Nothobranchius furzeri: one gene and its partners. The protein of the gene in region 1 interacts with the protein of each later gene in a pairwise test. Links are inferred from orthologs where the notes say so. Each region holds a gene or a part of one and is shown in the gene's direction. Other genes may lie near its edges. The genes, in order: nfyal, gtf2a1 and zc3h10.

The links.
Region 2: the proteins of nfyal (region 1) and gtf2a1 interact in binary tests that used the Homo sapiens proteins (3 or more experiments, as listed by UniProt). The two-hybrid records come from large-scale screens. The link is inferred for Nothobranchius furzeri from reciprocal best matches to the Homo sapiens genes NFYA and GTF2A1.
Region 3: the proteins of nfyal (region 1) and zc3h10 interact in binary tests that used the Homo sapiens proteins (3 or more experiments, as listed by UniProt). The two-hybrid records come from large-scale screens. The link is inferred for Nothobranchius furzeri from reciprocal best matches to the Homo sapiens genes NFYA and ZC3H10.

Annotation. Positions count from the first base shown.
Region 1 is NC_091755.1:28,373,450-28,379,440, reverse strand, and holds part of nfyal (nuclear transcription factor Y, alpha, like), read left to right. Parts: intron 1-2,750; coding exon 2,751-2,822; intron 2,823-3,439; coding exon 3,440-3,586; intron 3,587-3,665; coding exon 3,666-3,797; intron 3,798-4,148; coding exon 4,149-4,251; intron 4,252-4,341; coding exon 4,342-4,511; intron 4,512-5,813; coding exon 5,814-5,987; intron 5,988-5,991. UniProt on the Homo sapiens protein: Component of the sequence-specific heterotrimeric transcription factor (NF-Y) which specifically recognizes a 5'-CCAAT-3' box motif found in the promoters of its target genes.
Region 2 is NC_091742.1:19,643,561-19,650,270, forward strand, and holds part of gtf2a1 (transcription initiation factor IIA subunit 1), read left to right. Parts: intron 1-721; coding exon 722-823; intron 824-1,234; coding exon 1,235-1,409; intron 1,410-1,490; coding exon 1,491-1,555; intron 1,556-3,182; coding exon 3,183-3,258; intron 3,259-3,353; coding exon 3,354-3,478; intron 3,479-4,705; coding exon 4,706-4,810; intron 4,811-4,897; coding exon 4,898-5,203; intron 5,204-6,710. UniProt on the Homo sapiens protein: TFIIA is a component of the transcription machinery of RNA polymerase II and plays an important role in transcriptional activation. TFIIA in a complex with TBP mediates transcriptional activity.
Region 3 is NC_091743.1:49,723,867-49,731,345, reverse strand, and holds zc3h10 (zinc finger CCCH domain-containing protein 10), read left to right. Parts: upstream 1-2,466; 5' UTR 2,467-2,613; exon of another isoform or gene 2,614-2,759; intron 2,760-3,654; 5' UTR 3,655-3,802; coding exon 3,803-4,933; intron 4,934-6,419; coding exon 6,420-6,932; 3' UTR 6,933-7,140; downstream 7,141-7,479. Other genes in the region: si:dkey-28n18.9 (sorting nexin-5), read right to left, coding at 191-298, 409-516, 631-636. UniProt on the Homo sapiens protein: Specific regulator of miRNA biogenesis. Binds, via the C3H1-type zinc finger domains, to the binding motif 5'-GCAGCGC-3' on microRNA pri-MIR143 and negatively regulates the processing to mature microRNA.

The DNA of each region.
Region 1 (5,991 bases):
TTTTCATGCTAAAATGTCACTAATAACATCCGCTGATGCACACATTTTTTGAAGCTGAATTAGTTTTTCAACTCTGAATGTAACTGACTGTTAAATCTGAACTTTGTGCACTGCTCAGCATAAAAGTCAGACATCTAAATAAAGTTAAGTTAGAGTGTTAAAAATACATTTAAGATAAATGCTGCAACAGCACCGGGCTGCTCGAGGATGTGCCTGGTTTTGAGTCGGCTTTGCTAAGGACAAATATCAGCTGATGTATAAAAAACAGTAAATATCGGTCTACCCCTACTAAGGGGTAATTTTCCTCTGATAATCAGTTTGGTTTTAAGTCTAAGCATGGTACGGATATGTGTATCTATGCTCTTAAGGAAATAGTGAATCTATTTAGGTCAAAAAAATTCTACTATTCTCATGAGTTTTATTGATGTCTCCAAAGCATGTGATCGAGTGAATCATAAAAAGCTTTTTACTAAATTAAAGCAAAGGGGTGTGCCTGGAGGTGTTGTGATAGTGCTTGCCTATTGCTATGCCCACCAGAAGATGCATGTTAAATGGGAAGGGAGTATTTCTAATCCCTTTAGTGTCCAATGGGATAAGGCAGGGTGGAAATTTATCTCCTGTTTTGTTCAATTTATATGTCGATGAGTTATCTGGGCGTCTGAGAGCTTGTAACGCAGGTTGTTTGATAGGTGATGTTTTGATTAATCGCCTTATGTATGCGGATGACCTCGTAGTTTTTAGCCCAAGTAATGCAGGACTGCTGCTACTCCTAGATGATAGTACTGGGTATGGAATGGAATATGATTTAAAATGTAACTCGAGCAATAGTGCTGTGCTCATCTACAGAACCACCCAGGATAAAATGCTTAATTTTCCTGTGTTTGAGTTGTCCGGCAACAGTCTTGCGGTCTGTGAAAAGATAAAATATCTTGGACACTTTATCACAGCCAATATGAGCGACGATGATGACATTTACAGGCAGTGCTGCAAGCTATACGTGCAAGCAAACACCGTTGCATGGAAATTTAGCAGTTGTTCCACACCTGTTAAAGTGGCATTATTTAATGCATACTGCACACCACTATATACTGCACATCTGTGGTCATTCTATAACAAGTCTAGCTTGCACCGGCTACAGGTGGCATACAGTGTTGCAATGAGAATCCTCCTCAAAATTCCCAGGGGAGGCAGTGCTAGTCAGATGTCTGTTTCTTTGAGAGTGTGCACATTTAAGGCACTTCTGAGAAATTTAATGTACAAGTTTATGAGACGGCTGGAAGAATCTTAACTCGTGACTGGAGGAGTGAAAAGATACGCAGCAAGCGTTTTATTTGTGGACGGAAATCAATCAATCAATCAATCAAATCAAAGCTTTATTTATAAAGCGCCTTCCGCAACCCTGTCAGGAAGCCCAAGGCGCTGAACATGGTACAGTACAAAGTTCAATAAAGTGAATAAATCAGAAAATAAAAGCAATTCAAATTACAGATTACAATTTACAAAAAAATGTGAAACATTCTAGTAGAAGACAAATGTGTAAAACAAGGGAAAAAGCGAACCAATGAGAACTGTGAGATAAAATCAACATAAAAGAGGGCCAAATTCAAACATGTTCAGGAAACGCCAAGCAGAGGAGGTGTGTTTTTAGGTGATTCTTAAAGACTGGCAGAGATGGGGACAGCCTAACTGAGGGTGGCAACTGGTTCCAGAGTGACGGTGCTTGGACTGAGAAAGCCCGGTCCCCACGGGTACGACACCTAGAACGAGGGACAACGAGCAGGCCTTGGTCAGAGGAGCGCAGAGCGTGTGATGGGGAATGTCTGTTCAGGAGTGTGGCCAGATAGGGGGGAGCACCACCCTGGAAGTAATTAAAAACAAAGACGAGGAGTCTGAAGTGTGAACGATAGCAAACAGGAAGCCATTGCAGGGAGGCCAGAACCGGACTGATGTGGTCCCGTTTCCTGGTCCCAGTCAGGAACTGAATGTGACTGGAAATGACAGGAAACGTGGGTTTAGAGGTGGCGAGCGCATGAAGAGGTGGAGGAGGAGGAGAGACAAATTTGTCCATGTTAAAAAGTCTCTTATATACAAAAAAAAACAATATAAACACACGATCTTGGACCGATACATGACAGGATACCACAAAACAGCGCTACGCCCTCTGTTGTCCTGGTGGGGAATTGCTTAGCAACACTCTCCAGGAGACGGAGAAGTATGAGGGCAAAACACCTCCATGCGTGCGTGTCTCTCCCTGTTGGAGCTGACGGAGAAGCATGATTCAGGCTTAAGTGACTGCTAGCGTAGCTCATGGCTAACATTTTCTGTAGAATATGGCTGCTCTTTTGCTGGAGGAACTAGAATTGCTCAGATTCATCAGGATTGCCTTGGTTCTTGTGGTTGGACTTTGTATAAACTTAAGAAATCATCACATTCTGGGACAATCAGACACTTTGCTGAACGAAAACTTGGTCCTGATCTTCTTGAGAACTTTTCCCATCATAATAATCTCAAAAGAAGTTCTGGTTAACAGCAGTGATCATGTTTTTATGGAGGCCTAGCTGGGAACAGCATAAGTTTGGTTAGATTCAGGTACATTCTTTTCTCTATTCTTCACAGTGGTTTTCTTGTTTTTAATGTTTCCCTCCAGAGCAGACATTTTCCTTTAAACAATAAAGGAACATGCAAGGGTATGAACAATTTTGGGCTTAACTGTATCTGTCTGAGACTGTGTTGTCCTGCCTTGCCTGCAGACACAAGGCACAGTGACGGCTGTGCAGCTGCAAGCTGAGGCTCCAGGCCAGCAGGTGCAGACACTCCAGGTAGTGGTGTCATCTCCACCCTGTCCCACAGACGTTAAGCTAGCTTCCCGTCTGCATGCTGCCTCCAGGGCTGTTTCCATGACCCATCAGTGCTGTCTGGTTCATCACCTCCCTTTGAGCGTTCCCCTGCAACCACCTGTACTGCATGTTCCTCAGCAGCGTGTGTTCCGGCTAATGCTCGTGCTGTCATTTCTGAGTTGGTTTTTTTTACTCTGGCATTTAAAAGCAAGTTCAGAAAGTCTGAACTTCTTCTTTGATGCAAACATTAACTGCTGGAAGTGTGCATGATGTGAGTCTGTACTGAAGGATGGAAACGCTGCAGCTGCAGGCACGTTGCATCCTTTAGCTAAATCTTACATAATGCTTTTTTTATTATTTTTTTTGCACCGTCATTTTTCTGTGTGATACATCTGCTTTCACAGTGCGGTTAGAGCGGTAGATCAAGTTGGATCATCTCACATATCGCAGCCTAAACTTTTAAAATAGGTGGAATGTACCGGATGATTAAATGGCATCCTTGGCGTTTGTTGTTTGACTTGCATGCTGCTTTGCCAGTCACGTGTACGTTATTTGGAGGTAAAGTCTTAGAGATGCTGTAACAGCTCGGTGTCCCTTCGCAGGTCCAGGGACAGCCTCTGATGGTACAAGTGAGTGGTGGGCAGCTCATCACTTCTTCAGGACAGCCCATCATGGTGCAGGCCATGTCGGGGGGTCAGGGTCAAACCATAATGCAGGTTCCTGTTTCTGGAGCTCAAGGGCTGCAGCAGGTAAAAAAGTAACATAATTCAGTCTCATTATGACTGGTAAAGAAAGCCACAATGAGGGTGGAACTGTTGGATCTTGTAGATTCAGCTGGTGCAGCCTGGTCAGATACAGCTGCAAGGTGGTCAGACTCTCCAGCTCCAGGGTCAGCAGGGTCAACCCCAGCAGATCATCATCCAGCAGCCTCAAACAGCCATCACCGCTGGACAGAACCAGGTATTTGTTATCCTTCTCAAATTACAATAATATAAAATATTATGTAGCTCATAAACTGCTTGTTTGAATGTTTTTAGCAGTTTAGAGATTTTTCCCAAATGCTGAATCATGTTTTAAAGCTCATAAGCGCTGACCACTACTACTATTAGAACTAGTACTACTAGTACATCTGGATGAAAGTTGGGAATTGAGTTGTGCTGCAGGAAGTTTGCATGTGTTGATTTAATTCTGTTGTGAGAATTTAGTGCTGAGCACAGCGATGTTCTTTGTGTTCCTTTTACAGACTTTTATATTTTTATGACTTGTGTGTTGATGCAGAGTCGTTGATATTGACGTTTACCTGTTTATCAGGGCCAGCAGATCAGCGTGCAGGGTCAGCAGGTCGCTCAGACAGCAGACGGACAGACCATCGTCTACCAGCCTGTTAATGCAGATGGTTCTGTCCTGCAGCAGGGTACTTTTTTTTTTCTTTAATTAGATTTAAAATTAAACAAAGATTCTAATGAGACGTGATTTTGACTTGAGTTGTGTTACGTGTGCACAGGAATGATCACAATCCCTGCTGCCAGTTTGGCAGGGGCCCAGATTGTACAGGCAGGGGGCGCCAACACCAACACTACCAACAGCGGCCAAGGCACTGTGACCGTCACCCTGCCCGTCTCTGGCAACATGGTGAATGCAGGTGGAATGGTCATGGTAAGACCCTGTGCTGAGGTACCCAACATCTTTTTACTCTGCTTTTCTTTCTGAATCTAGACTAGCACCAAGGTGTGGAGAGTGGGGAAGATCTCACAACAAGAGTAGCTCTTTTTTAAAATTACTTTGATCAACAGTCACCTTTTCACCACGTGTCCTTGTACTAATCACTAATCACAGAACATGAGAACCATTCACCCAGTTGTTTTCAGTTATTTTTGTCATATTTGTTCCTACGCATGCATTAATTCACCAGTCACCACACGTGTGTTGGAAGCGTAAATAGTATTTGAATTAATTATTCAAAATCTTAATTATATATGTATATATATATATATAATGTATATGTATATATGTATATATGTATATGTATATATATGTATATATGTATATATGTATATATATATATACATATATATATATATGTGTGTGTGTGTGTGTGTGTGTGTGTATATATGTGTGTGTGTGTGTATTGATGCTGTGTGTTTTCTGATAGAGGTCTGCCCAACTTTAAGGGCGGTGTGGGTCTGAAGCTTGGTTTATGCTTGACGCATTCACTTTCCGCGCGGTGATGCGGCTCGCGGATGGAACGCGCTTCACAACTCGCAGCTTTTATGGTTCGTGCGGCTCGTCTCTGCGGTGAGCCAATATTCTCCCAAACTGAACGGGGCAGCATGGAGCTCTACGGCAAACATCCAACACTACACCATAGTAGAAGTAGAAATTACTGTTTACAACACGGCATTTCAGCATTTTTAACAGCATTCTCGTCTTTTCCGACATTGCGAGCTATTTCTCTCCAAGAATTATTAACAACATGTTGATCACGGTGATCTCTGAGAGCTGAATCATACAAATGTCTGTATTTATGAACCTCTGCCATACTAGTTCTTGCTGGTCCGCCATGTTTTTCCGCGTCCGTCCGTCCACGTGGTTAGAAATTTTCCGAGGTGCGCGTTGCGGAAATTCTGGGCCGTCCGGAGGCGCGGTGGAGGGGCGTGGTTGTTAAAATGACGAAAAATGACGCAACTTTTCCGCGCGGAGCCGTGCGGACCTCGCGGACACGTCAAGCATAAACCAACCTTTAGAATCAGACATGATCCAGCTCCCCAGTAACGGACCTCTCAGACTCGGCCTTTAGAGCGACTCAATTCTTGTTAAAAACATCTGTCTGGGTCCAAAACAATGTAATTGTTACGTTTTAACAGCAGATCTGATGATACAGATTCAGATAGTTCACTTATAATTGTCTGCATTTCATTTGAATTGTCAGGGGTTCTAAGTTGTGTGGGCCGTGCCTGTTTGCTTTACTCCTATCAGATGGTGCCCGGAGGGGGCGGAGTTCCCACAATGCAGCGCATCCCACTGCCAGGGGCCGAAATGCTGGAGGAGGAGCCTCTGTACGTCAACGCCAAACAATACCATCGTATTCTGAAGCGACGGCAGGCCCGGGCCAAGCTGGAGGCTGAGGGCAAGATCCCTAAAGAGAGAAGGGTAC
Region 2 (6,710 bases), on another chromosome or scaffold:
ACAGTCAAATGGAGGTAGGCATCTAAAACCAAAAATAAATTGTGCACAAAAATAAATAGAAGTAACTCTGTTGTTAGCAACTAACGAGGAAATTAGCTTACAGAGGCGACTCTTTGTTCGCCGCCGTGACGTGCTTCCTTTTAAGGTGCTCATGCAATGCCTTTGTAAAATGCTCCCAAACCTTTGAGCTACGTTGCCGACTCGCCATGATGTCTCTTGCTCTGGTGATTCTATTTCGAAGGCTGATCCGGATGGCCACCACCGCGCATGTGCCTCAAGCAGAAAACAGCCACTGATGATGCCACAGCAGGCGAGGTTTAACAAATGCTCCTAGAGTAAATGCAACACGCTTAAATTCAGTATGTGAGTGAAACAAAACACCCAAATTCCTTTTTGGCTCATTAGCACCACTAGTGTTTGGACTTGGAATTGCATCTGCCTATAATCTGATCTTTGTATAAAGGTGACAAGCAGGGTTACTTCAGGGGGCCTGTCAAATTTCAGCAGGGGCCATTCCCCCGTGGCCCCACCCCTTGAACCATCAAGCATTTATGCTGACCTGACAGGATTACAGGGTCTAATAAAGATGTTTAGTGGCTGGTAGTGAAGTTACACCAACAAAAAACACCACGATCGTGATTAGTTATCCCAAATTAATAATTGTGTTAATAAATAATGTTAATATCTGAACAAAAAATTTTTTTCTCTTATGTCATCCTAGCCTAAATTGTACCGGTCTGTGATTGAAGATGTCATGAGCGAGGTACGGGAGCTGTTCCTGGATGAAGGAGTGGACGAGCAGGTTCTCCACGAGCTGAAAACGGTACGTTTTCTGCAGGAGATGGTTTCCAGATGCAACAGGGGCAGCCATCATTAATCAAAAGGCAAACTAATGGCTTTAATGGATGGAAAACGCAGGTCTCTGCCTCTAACTTTCATAAGTGGGAGGTACTCTGAGACTGAGCAGAAGGAGCTGCAGTGATTAGATTTGATCTGTTCTCCAGAGGACATTTAGTCTACCAGACCAGGAGCTATAAACAGTTTTTTGACCCCAACATGGTCCTCTGCTCTTTCTTTACCACATAACATTAGTTGTTAGTTGGTGATTTTAGGTTATTTATCTTTTAAAATCTAGCCTGAGAAGTACATTTTGTCCACACAGCATCTCTAACATGCGGTTAAATAATCTCATAAGCAGTCCTGTAACCCAAATCTTCTCCATCTGCTGGCACAGCTATGGGAGAATAAACTGCTCCAGTCCAAGGCAGTGGAGGGCTTCCACTCTGATGAGCAGGCAGCCCTGCAGGCCTCCCAGCAGCAGCAGCAGCAGCACATCCAGCATGTTCAGCAGGTGACTCAGCCAGCACAAACCCAACAAGTCATCCTGCCCCCCCAGCAGCAGCAGCAAGGTGCGTTCAAAAGCTGATGTACAGCAGCAAAAACTATCCGTGACACACATTTGATTAGGAGGGTTTTAATTTTCTCTGCAGCGCCGCAGCAGCAAGTCATTGTTCGGGATCCTAAGCTTCTTCAGCACATGAGTGCAACAGGGATGGTGAGTGCATCGTGTGCTCATTTTTGAGGACAGTGCTAGTTGGGATTTGGTGTTCATCAGAGAAAAGTTTTTCTTATTCTAATTATTCAATAAAAACTGTATCCACAAATCCACAAAACACATGTAGACTGGTTGGGCAAGTTCCCACGCACCCTCCAGGATCCCCCTAAGGGTATAGAGCTGGTCCAGTGTTCCACGGCCGGGACGAAAACCACATTGCTCCTCCTGAATCTGAGGTTCAGCAATCCGACGGACCCTCCTCTCCAGAACCCCTGAATAGACCTTACCAGGAAGGCTCAGGAGTGTGATCCCCCTGTAGATGGAACACACCCTGCGGTCCCCCTTTTTAAATAAGGGGACCACCACCAGTCCAGTGGGACTGTCCCCGATGCCCACGCGATATTGCAGAGCCGCGTCAGCCAACACAGCCCCACAACATCCAGAGCCTTAAGGAACTCCGGGCGGATCTCATCCACCCCTGGAGCCTTGCCACCGAGGAGCTTTTTAACCACCTCAGTGACCTCAGCACCAGAGATTTGAGAGGCCAACCCAAAGTCCCCAGACTCTGCTTCCTCACTGGAAGACGTGTCGGTGGGATTGAGGAGGTCTTCGAAGTATTCTGCCCACCGATCCACAACATCCTGAGTAGAGGTCAGCAGCACACCGTCCCCACTATAGATAGTGTTGGTAGCGCACTGCTCCCCCCACCCCCACCCCGAGGCGCTGGATGGTGGACCAGAATCTTTATTTTAATTTTGATTATATTTCATTTCTAAGGTTTGGATGTCTGTGAACATTACAGAATATTCAGATTGGTGTAAAGAACATATTAATAATAACAGGTCATGATCTAAAGCTGGTCTGAGGTCTAAAACTCTGCCCTGGGCCTAAAGCCCTGCAGATGTATTTAGTTTCTATAAACAACAACAATTAAATAACCGCAGCTGGATTCTACTTTGTTCCTTAAATTGAGTCACGTAGTTTTGCAAGTTCTGCAGCTCACACGTTCAACAGGGAGCTCTGCCAGCTGATTGGTTCTTTTGGTACCTAGTGCAGTTCTGGTGCTGAGCAGCATGCATGCATCAGTGGATTCATAATGGATTAAGAAAGGACAGGAAAACATAGTTAACTCAAATATATCATTATAATGAACACGTATAGATACTTTATCATACATACCTACCAGCCTGTAACTCTACCTTTACCCCCCAAAATGCACCAGACTGATGTGTTTAAATACAAAATGTCCAATAATTTTTTTCTAGGGGGCATGCCCCCGATACCCCTAGAGTACTTTAATACTTATCATCTTTTTTACCTCAGAGAAATCTCAACACCCGCACTTTTAAACACTGTACGTGAACGCGTTATTCCAAAGTTTTCAGAAACAATAACGCTGATCTTAAAACCAATCAAAACCCGAATAGTGGCTACATGTAAACAATGTGATTATTATATAATAATAATTATTATATCAATAAACTAATCATTTAAATGTATTCTAGAAAAGCATGTGACCCTCACAGTGTCTGCTGGCACAGACAAATCTAGTTGAAGACCCTGGTCTAGACCTCTAGAAGCCTGTTTTGTAGAGCTGATGTGTGTATATTCTGTTTTCCTCCACTAGAGCGCAGCAGCCACTGCAGCAACTCTGGCTTTACCTACAGGTGTCACTCCATACCAGCAGATCATCACTCAGCAGGGTAACACCACCATGCCCTCGTGCTGCACTCAACTCAACTGGTGTTTCAGCCGTTTCACTGCTCTGATGTTTCTCCTTCACCTTTCGCTGACTCAGGTCAGATCCTGCAGGTGGTGCGCGCTCCCAATGGGGCTCAGTACATCATTCAGCAGTCCCAACAGCCCATCGTGCTGCAGCAGCCTATGCAGTCTGGTGGTGTGCAGGCACCGGTCATACAGCAGGTACCGCCATTTAACTAGTTGAACTGTATTATAGAACAAATCAGTTTATGGAAGTTGTTAGAATTTGGTTTTGATTAAAAGTAGCGGTGCAGCCGCTCCAGCAACTCACGGCTCGGATCATATCACGGCTTCGAGTCACGGATCGGGTCATTTCTGGGATCAGCAGACTGAAAAAAAAAAAGACAAATAACTTTGCTGTCTTTATTTTGCAGAACACTTAATGAGCATTCAGCAGAAAAAGCTGCACTAAGTACAAACATTCATCTCAAGACATTTATGTTTATGAATTTAGCAGATGCTTTTGTCCAAAGCGACTTACAGGTGATAAGGAAGCTAGCAGGTTGCCCTTGAGGCTAACAACAAACACTAATCAGTCAATCCTAGGTGGCAGTGAGGCAGCATAAGGTGCTGATACATTTACCCGGGCATGAAAACCCCTCACCTTTTGGCAAACTTTGCTGTTTAAAATCTCAAATGAGTCCTTGCCGATCTGATGAGAAAATATTTGGGGTGGGGTGGGGCCAGCTTTTACATATTAACCAGTTCCAACATTCGAGAGGATTTTTAAGACCTCCCCAACACCACCGACAGTACAATAAATAAATAAATTAGTCAGAACCGGCGCAACCCGCACAAACGCACCTCGTCTGGAGGTCCCCTGTGTAGACCCGCAGACGGCTCTTTAAGGGGCATGAATGTTGCCAACCTACACACATCTTTTCGTTTTTGTATTATCAAATTTATTGACGTGGGAAAAGTCTGGATAAGAGTCAGAAATTTTGATCACGATAAATTTTCCATTTATTGTCCAGCCCTGATATTTAGGGCCGTCACGGTAACCGCAAAAATGAAATATCGCAATATGAAGAAACCCACCGCGCTGCATCATGGGCCACCGCGATTACTGAACGTGATTCAACTCAATGATGCATGTAGAGAAGGATGGCTGCACTGGTATCAAAACGAAACGTTACTTCGCTGCTTTGGGAGCACTTTGGTTTTCAGTACGTCAGCTGCTGCGCAGCCAGAGTCCTTGGTCGAGACAGAGCTGCCACCAACGGCAAATAAATAAATAAACACTCGGAGACCTGCTGAAGTCCCGGACAAGCACTGCTTCTGCAACCGTCCCGAAGAGAGTTTGAGCCGAGCTGGAGCTCACTCGCTACCTGCAGGAGGAATGCATCCACCCTAAAGAAACCCCCCTGACATTAATTAATTTGTGTTTAGGTTCTGGCTCCTCTTCAGGGAGGTCTGCCTCAGCAAACGGGAGTCATCATCCAGCCACAGCAGATCGTCTTGGCTCAAGGAAACAAGGTCCAAGACAATGCACAGGTCAGAACATGGCCCCTTGTAAATCTCCTGTTCTGTTTCTAGCCTCATCAACCAACTCTGTCCCTTCTGGGGGTTATTTCCCTTCAGGTGATGCAGGCGGCAGCCATGGTGCCTCAGCCCGGTCAGGCAGCAGGAGCAGCACCAGGAGGAGCAGCAGGAGGAGCAGCGACTCAGGTCCAGCAGGCCCATGCTGCAGCTGCACCACAGGCCCCACTGCAGCCTCAGGCCCAGCAGCAGGCTCAGCTGCAGGCACAGCAGCCTCCCATGATGCTCCAGGTGGACGGGGCCGGGGACACGTCCTCGGAGGAGGACGAAGACGAGGAGGAGGAGTACGATGACGATGATGACGAGGAGAAGGATAAGGATGGTGGAGAAGACGGGCAGGTGGAGGAGGTAACGGATGTGTCATCGTCTTCCTCCGCTTGTACGGGTCGTGGGGGCAGCATCCCAACTAGGGAGCTCCAGACCGTCCTCTCCCCGGCCACCTCCACCAGCTCCTCCAGCAGACCCCAAGGCGTTCCCGGACCAGATTGGAGATGTAACCTCTCCAACATGTCCTGGTTCTACTCCGAGTCCCTCCCGAATGTCCGAGCTCCTCACCCTATCTCTAAGGCTGAGCCCGGCCACCCTACGGAGGAAACTCATTTCGGCCGCTTGTATCCGCATTCTCGTTCTTTCGGTCATTACCCAAAGCTCAGGACCATAGGTGAGGATTGAGACGTAGATAGACCGGTAAATCGAGAGCCTGGCTTTCTGGCTCAGCTCCCTCTTCCCCACGACAGATCGGCTCAGCGTCCGCATCACTGCAGACACCGAACCCATCCGCTTGTCGATCCCCCGATCCCTCCTTCCCTCACTCGTGAACAAGACCCCGAGATACTTAAACTCCTCCACTTGAGGTAGAACCTCTCTCCCGACCCGGAGTTGGCAAGCCACCCTTTCCCGGTCGAGAACCATGGTCTCAGATTTGGAGGTGCTGATCCTCATCCCAGCCGCTTCACACTCTGCCACGAACCTACCCAGCAAGAGCTGAAGGTCAGAGCTGGATGAAGCTAGGAGGACCACATAATCCGCAAAAAGCGGAGACGAGATTCTCCTGCCACCAAACTCGACACACTCCACACCATGGCTGCGCCTAGAAATTCTGTCCATAAAGGTAATGAACAGAACCGGTGACAAAGGGCAGCCCTGGCGGAGTCCAACCCTCACTGGGAACAGGTCCGACTTACTACCGGCTATGCGGACTAAACTCAAACTCCTCTGGTAAAGGGACTGAATGGCCCTTAACAGAAAGCCACCCACCGGTCATAAGCCTTCTCCAAATCCACAAAACACATGGATTGGTTGGGCAAACTCCCATGCCCCCTCCATCATTCTTGCAAGGGTATAGAGCTGGTCCACAGTTCCACGGCCAGGACGGAAACCACATTGCTCCTCCTCAATCTGAGATTCAACTTTCGATCAGACCCTCCTCTCCAGTATCTTGGAGTAGACCTTTCCAGGGAGGCTAAGGAGTGTGATCCCCCTATAGTTGGAACACACCCTCAGGTCACCCTTCTTAAAGGTGGGGACCACCACCCCGGTCTGCCACTCCACAGGAACTGCCCCTGATGACCACGCAATGTTGCAGAGACGTGTCAACCATGACAGCCCTACAACATCCATAGCCTTGAGATACCCAGGACGAACCTCACCCGCCCCCGGGGCTCCGCCGCTGTGTAGTTGTTTGACAACCTCAGCAACTTCTGCCCCCGAGATTGGACAGTCCATCCCCAGTTCTCCCGGCTCTGGTTCCTCCTCGGAATGCATGTAGGTGGGATTGAGGAGCTCCTCAAAATATTCCTTCCACTGTCCAACTATAGCCCCAGTTGACGTCAGCAGCTCCCCATCCCCACTGTAA
Region 3 (7,479 bases), on another chromosome or scaffold:
ACTGATTAATTATTTCACTTTTCTTAGCACCTGGTGTGTTTTCTTATGTTCACGGCTACAGCAGGAAGTTTAAAAAATGATGACAAAACACAAATTATCCCCCCAAAAAAGCAGGAAAATCCACAAAGTCATGGTATTTAACCTCTTTATTAGACAAAAAGAGATTATTAAGAAAACACAAAGCACTCACGATGACTCCCTGAATCCCGGGCACATCCTCCTGAGTGTACAGGTGCTGCTGGAGCCACTCAAAGTCATCATAGGTGCGGTCCACGTGGTACTCCCCTGTCCCAGAGAGCTGGATTAGACCACAGATTAGGATTTAATTTCAGGATTATTATCATTTAAATACATGAATTACAGCTAGCTAAGAAACCTTTGGAGTTTTCAAATCAAGTATTTTTACACCTTTTGAGACACGATTATGAAGGTAAGAGTGTCCCCGTCTTGCAGGACCTCCGTAACTTTGATGGTGTCCCCATGGACGCTCCCTGCAGACACGTCCTTTACCTCTTCCTGCCAGGAGAAGAAAAGTGAATTTAGATTAAAGGCAAGAAATTAATCTCCTTCTTCTGCCGTCAGAGTCTGGGTTCGTCACATGACCCTCTCAGGATTTTAGAAACTACTTACCATCATCGTTTGAGTCGGGCTCTGTAAAACCCCTCTGTCTTCTTTTATCTCAGTAGAACTGCCAAGCTTGGGAGAAGTTTTCCAACTGCTCGGGCTACAGCTGCTGAAGAGGAACAGGATGTCCTCTGGGTCAAAGTGCACAACGGCCCCGAGAGACGTGAGATGAGTAGAACTGTAAAGTGCTGGTGCAGGGAAACACTGTGGATGAGTAAATGTTCTGTTACCGTGTGACTGTGAACACTCCCACAACAGAGCCGTAACGCTCCGGGCTGGTCAGCTGAATATACAAGACATCCCATAAAGGGAAAAGCTCCTCAAGGTCATATCTCAGTTAAACTCGACACATTGACCCGAGGCACAACGGGAATGAAAAGCTTTACTCTCCCATAAAAATGGAAATTTACACGCTGTTGTCCATCTGGCCACAGATTCTCGTCCACATCACAGCAGATACTTTCTCTTGTGATGCAACGAGGGAAGAAACGGCGTGCATGCCGCAACCATCCCCTGCATTGATCTCCTGTAATGTCGTCACACGCTGCGTCCATAGCATGGAGTAGGGGCGGCTGATCCTGAGCATGATGCTCACACACTCTCCACCTCAGAGATGAAAAAAAAAACTCCTCTATCGGATTGAGGAAAGGAGAGTAAGGTGGTTGGAACTCCATGGCCATCCTTGGATGTGTTGCAAACCAGCCCCCAATGAGTGGGCTAAGGTGGGAATTGGCATTGTCCCACACAATAACATAAATGGGTAGGTGAGGCCCTATGAGACCTCTCTCATTTTCTGGGATAAAATTAGAATAAAGGCGATCCGAGAAGATGAGGAGCTTGTGTGTGTTGTATGGACCAAGACTGGAGATGTGAGTGGCCACACCATCGCCAAAAAATGGCAGCACACGATCATGGAAATCACCTGTGTGACGCTTCCTGTTCGTTAGTCTAGTATCACCTGACTGTCAATGACTGTCATCAATGTATCAAATATTCAAAGAAATCCATATATGGTATTCATGGTATTATGTTCTTGACCAATTCTGACAATTGAACAGACAGTTGTGCATGCTGACATGTTTTGGAGAGAATGATCATTGGACTGAGAATCAACTAATCAGTTTAGATCTATTCATTTGGAAAATGTGCTAAATGTGGGCTAACTGCATAACAGTAGGCTACATGTACTTAATCATTTGCAAAGAAGCACTGAGACAATTGAGACATGTACTAAGGCATTTGCAATTTGATAAAATGAATGAGAAATTCTGTTGTGAACATTTGCCAAGAGGTTTGGAAGTTTGTCCATGTTATTTTTAGAATGTAATTTCTGTTTCAAGAAAAGAGCCAAACCAATAGAGAAAAACTGTAATTGTTTTCCTTTAGTCCACTTAACCAAAGTAAGTTGTGTTTGCATGCTAATAAATTAATATAACGGTTGAATTAAGTTTGTTTAACTAAGCTCTAACTATGTCAAAGGAGGGTGAACCTCAGCAGCAGGACCACACAGGCTGGTATCCACAGGAATTCTTTAAGCTTTAGGAACAAAGAACTACACAAAGGAAGTTTTCTAGAAGCGAACAGCTGTTCCCATGCTGTTTGACAGCTGGTTTCTACTCAAAGGCTTTTTAAACTCACTAACAGACAGAAATCACGTCAAAATTCTCCATGTTTATAAGACCTGGTCTGAGTAGCTGCTAAATTCTATAAACACCTTTTTTTAATGGAGTTTGAATTGATTTCCCAGATTTACGGTGTACTCGTTGTCTTTACCACTAGAGGGCAGAAGACATCAAACCGAGAAAAAAGTAGACGAGGAAGAAAGCAAGTCTTCTTCGTTGGTGGTTAAGGACGCAGCTAGAAAGGTGGTAAACAGCACCGAGCCTTAACGCACTCCCCCCAACATAACTCGTATTCAGTTGTTAGCTGAGTTAATGTTGACGTTTATTGGTTCCCCTAGAAGGCCTTTCGTACCTGAAACCGGATCTGGTGAGAAGTTTTAAAAGCTGTATGTTTGCTTTTTCCAGGTTGCTTGTTAGCATTTAGCCGTGCAGCATTAGCGAGGTCGTCACACCATTTCAAACTGACCTCATGACCTAATGAAGTCGTCTGCGTTGTGAATTGGGCGGTTTCCTTCAGGTTTAATTAGTTCTTCTTAAGCAGGAGTAGGCAACTCTGGTCCACGAGAGCTCCCATCCGGGAAGTTTTAGTGGTTTCCCTGCTTCGGATCACCTGATCCAGTGGTTGCTCAAACCCTGCTGAAGCCTGCTAACCACCCGCTGATTAAGAACAGGTGTGTTGACGCAGAGACACGTCTGTTGAGATGTTTCTCATAAGTGTGTGTGTGTGTGTGTGTGTGTGTGTGTGTGTGTGTGTGTGTGTGTGTGTGTGTGTGTGTGTGTGTGTGTGTTTAGAGGTTTCTCTGTCACAATACGCCCGATTTTAATCAGTGGAAGAATAATTGGGTTTTGCAAAGCTTGATGACCTGCTGAACTGGTGATTCAACCGTTGAAACATGTTTTGGGAGCAGAGAAACAACTAAAACATGCTGGGAAGTGCCTTGGGGGACCTGAGTTGTTTCTCTCCGTCCTAAAGCAACAGTGGTGCTACTTATTATGTACAAATTCAAGTCACCTAGATCTTTCTTAGTTGTGTATGCAGTTAGCTAAACTTATTTTGGGGTTTACTTTTACAACATTTGTTATATTTGACTTCTAAACATGTTGAAAGGAACTCAACTCTGTTTAAAATTCACCCTTGATCCAAACTGCTGCAGCCACAGATTAGGATGCGGAGCCGTTAGGTTTCAGATTTCTGCTGGAACAAGCCCACAGGCAATGTTTGAATTTCGGTTATTTTTTTAACTTTTATTTCTGAATTAAATATTATATTTTGATTTAAAATATTTGTTTTACCAACTGAGTTATTTAACTTACTTAGATGTTTTTATTTTTTTGTATTTCTCTTATGAACCTCAAAGGTCTATGGACACAAGTTTAATTGAGTTTCTGTGGGATTTTTGTCTTGCAGTTCTGCGTCATTTACTTTTCATTCCTCTGGGATAACTTAAAAACGTTGGTGACACCCTGACCTGTGTATGTGCATGTTTACCAGGATTGATCGGGCACCCTTCACATACACATGAGTCCTGATTTCTCTCTGAGCCGGGTCAAGCGCCATGCCTGACCGGGACAGTTCCTACCTGTCTGGTGGTGGTGGGAGTGGTGGTAGCCTGGGTGAGGAAGGAGGACCAGGATCAGGTTTGGCAGGGGGCTCAGCGGACGGCCGAGGTGGTTCTGGAAGTGGTGGAAACGTCTCTGGCTCAGGGGGCATGGGTGGAGGGGGTGCGCCCGGAAACACTAATGGATTTGGGAATGGCGGCGGAGGGGGGCAAGGTGCAGGACTAGCGTTGGATGGAGTCTGCAGGGACTTCATACGTAATGTGTGCAAGAGAGGCAAGCGCTGCCGCTTCCGACACCCAGACTTTAACGAGGTTCCGGACTTGGGAGTTCAAAAGAACGAGTTCATCTTCTGCCATGACTATCAGAACAAGGACTGCATGCGCTCCAACTGCCGCTTTGTCCACGGAACTAAAGAAGATGAGGACTATTACAAGAAGACTGGAGCGTTGCCCCCCAGACTAAGAGGAAAAGTCGCTGCACGAATGGGCCTCTCTCCGATGGATCTCCCCCTAAGCAGGGAGGAGGTTCCCATCTGCAGGGACTTCCTGAAGGGAGAGTGCCTGAGAGGCAATAAATGTAAATTTCGTCACGTCCAAAAGGACTATGAATATGAATCTCTGAGGGCTGGGGTGGGGGGTGTTGTGGGGCAGGGCGCGAGTGGGATCGTGAATGCTGTTGGAGGAATAGGAGGGGGAGGAACTTGCGGAGGGATTCAAGGACTTGTGGGAGGTGGAAGTAACATGGTGGGGACTGGCTGCACCAGCCTGGGTGGGTGCAGGGATCCAGGCTTTTCAGGGGTTGGGGGGATAGGTGGAGGTGGAATGAGTGGTTGTCTGTCCATCGGGTCTTCAGGACAGAGACGCTATGAGAGGAGCATGTGCTCTGTGTACGACCCCCTGCTGGAGAGTGGGCTGTTTGATGCTGGTTCTCTGGAGGCTACTATAGACCATACTGCTCTCCAGCTGAAGAGGCGACGGCTAGAGAGCCTACGTCTGACAGACGGGAGCGGAGGGGGACACTACGAGTTGGGAGTTCAAGCCACCCTTCAACCTCGTCCTCTGGAGTACAGATTCCTCGAGGAGGAGAACTCCCTGCTGAGGAAAAGAGTGGAAGAGCTGAAGAAGCAGGTTAAAAAACTAAATTATTAGAGATTAACAAAGGTTTTTAATATGCCGTAATTTCCGGACTATAGAGTGCACCTCAATATAAGCCGCACCAACAACAAAAAAAAAAGGTTTTCTACACACACGCCGCACAAGCCACGGCGCAGCAGCCACATGCAGGTCTACGGTGCACAGCGCATGTACGGCCATAACATAAGATAATTAGACAGAAAGACGCTACACGGAGGGTTTTCGTTGTTTAAATTCAACAAAATGGATTTTAAACACGGGTGAACGTGCCTGCAAGTTTAGAAAAGAAAACAGCACTGATAACATTCATATTTCTGGATGGTTATAAAATAAAAACAGAACTGACACGTTATTACCGGTCATTTGCATGTTTAGATGAAAAGAACAGCGCTGACACAGCATTAATAAGCCCTGGATGATTAGAAAATAAAAACTGCACACAAAGCATGCCTGGTTAGTAAATAAAACACTTGCCTACCAGAAAAAGTCATTCGCTCTCATCTTACTCTTGTGCACTAAAGCCATTAAAGTCCTCTTCTTCAGTGTCGGAGTTGAACAGCCTCAGAAGAGCTTCGTCACATACCTTTTCTGTGGCGATGTCGGTGTCGCTGGCCGTGTTGCTGTCATCATCCCCGGGTGAAGCTGGCTTGAATGAGTTCTTCCCGCTGCCGTCTCCAGCGCTGAACCGTGGATTCATTCATGCCAAGCTTACGTGCGGCAGCACTGTTTCCCTCCTTTACTGCCAGATTGATGGCCTTCAAATTAAATGCGGCATCATATGAACTCATAGTTACCATGATGAGGGGGTATGGATTTGAAAAAAAAAATCTTCTTCGTGCCGGCTGCTTGCATGTGCTAAATTAAAATGAGCACTTTCTTCGATTTCAACTTTTGACTTCCACCTGTTTCACTTTCTGCTAAAGCGCCCCCTGGCAGGAGAAGGAAAATCTTCAGTAAAGCCGCACCTCATTATAAGCCGCATGGTTCAAAGCATGGGGAAAAAAGTAGCGGCTTATAGTCCGGAAAATACGGTACAAAACATGCTTAGAGGTCAGCTTACCGATTTATTTAATCAGCTCTGCCACAGTCAGTGTTTGAAGTTAGAAACTGTGTTTGTTACAAAACAATCCTTTACACGTCTGGAATAATAGTTTACAGTTGGCTAAAATAAAAATAGAAAGTTTCTATATTATTTTCAGACATTTAGAAAATACACAGATCTGAAAGCTTTAACTGGGAGCTTCTTCTAAAACAGTATTTTCTACATAGAAGAGTACAGACTCTGTTGGCAATATTACAGCTTAATACAGATTCATCATAAAGTTGGAGGGAAAAAATGAAAAGTAACTGTATGACAAAAAGTTGGATGATATTCAAATTGTTATAAAATACATTTGTTTCATCTTTGAGTATGGTGGAGGACAACACATGAGACACGTGTCTCTTGTTATTTTAAATCCTTGTCTCTTGTGTTTCTCAGGTTTCCAATCTCCTCGCTACAAATGAGGTTCTCCTGGAGCAGAACGCTCAGTTCCGGAGCCAAGCCAAGGTGATGACGCTGACTTCCACTCCTGCGCCTGCTGAGCAGAATCTGGCTCCTCCTGTGGGTGCAGTAAGCTCCTACAACCACAGCATTGCTCAGACTCACACCACCCTCAGCAGCGCAGGACTGCAGCCTCGGCCTGTCACACAGCAAGACCTGGTCGCTCCCACCGGTGCCCCTTCTGCTCCGCCATCTAACGCAGCTCCGCCCACAGCCCCTCCACCACACCTCAACCCAGAGATCACCCCGCTCTCGGCAGCCCTTGCACAGACTATTGCACAAGGAATGGCTCCGCCTGTTTCTATGGCGCAGGTGGCTGTATCTGTGGCACCAGTGGCCGTGTCCATGACGCAGCCTCTGCCGGGCATCACCATGAGTCACGCCACCACTCCGATGGTGTCGTACCCCATCGCAAGTCAAAGCATGAGGATCACCACCCTGCCTCACTGAGGAAACCTGAACCTTTAATTTGAACTTCTAAAATGTTGACAGAGAGCCTCTTATGTGATTGAACAGAACGGCAGTGGCGGTAAATGTTGACATTTTAATTTTCTTTGTCTGGTTTTCCCTTGATGACAATATTGTGTCCTGTGGCGCTGTTACGTTTCATGAATGTTAGCGGGACCTTAAAATGCGGCCAAGGTATATTTTACCCCAAAGTGTCAAATAAGTTAATGTGTGAAGTTTCTGTGTTTTGTTTTCTTAACATTTTTATTATGATTCTCCAAGTGTTTTAACTATTGAACAGGACTGCTGTGTGTCCATGTGTGTACATGAATACTCTGGGAGGAGTTTGTTTATACTTATGTGGATTGATCTGTTGCAAAATAAATTTTAGTACTTTCAACATGTAAAAAACAATCTCTTGGCACTCTTGCGTTATTTGTCTCTAATGTTTCATTGATATGTTTACAATAGACTTTTCACTGTACATGGGAATATTTCAGTTATTCGAAGTGCTCCAAGTACTTAAATACTTTAAACATCCTGTTGGTTC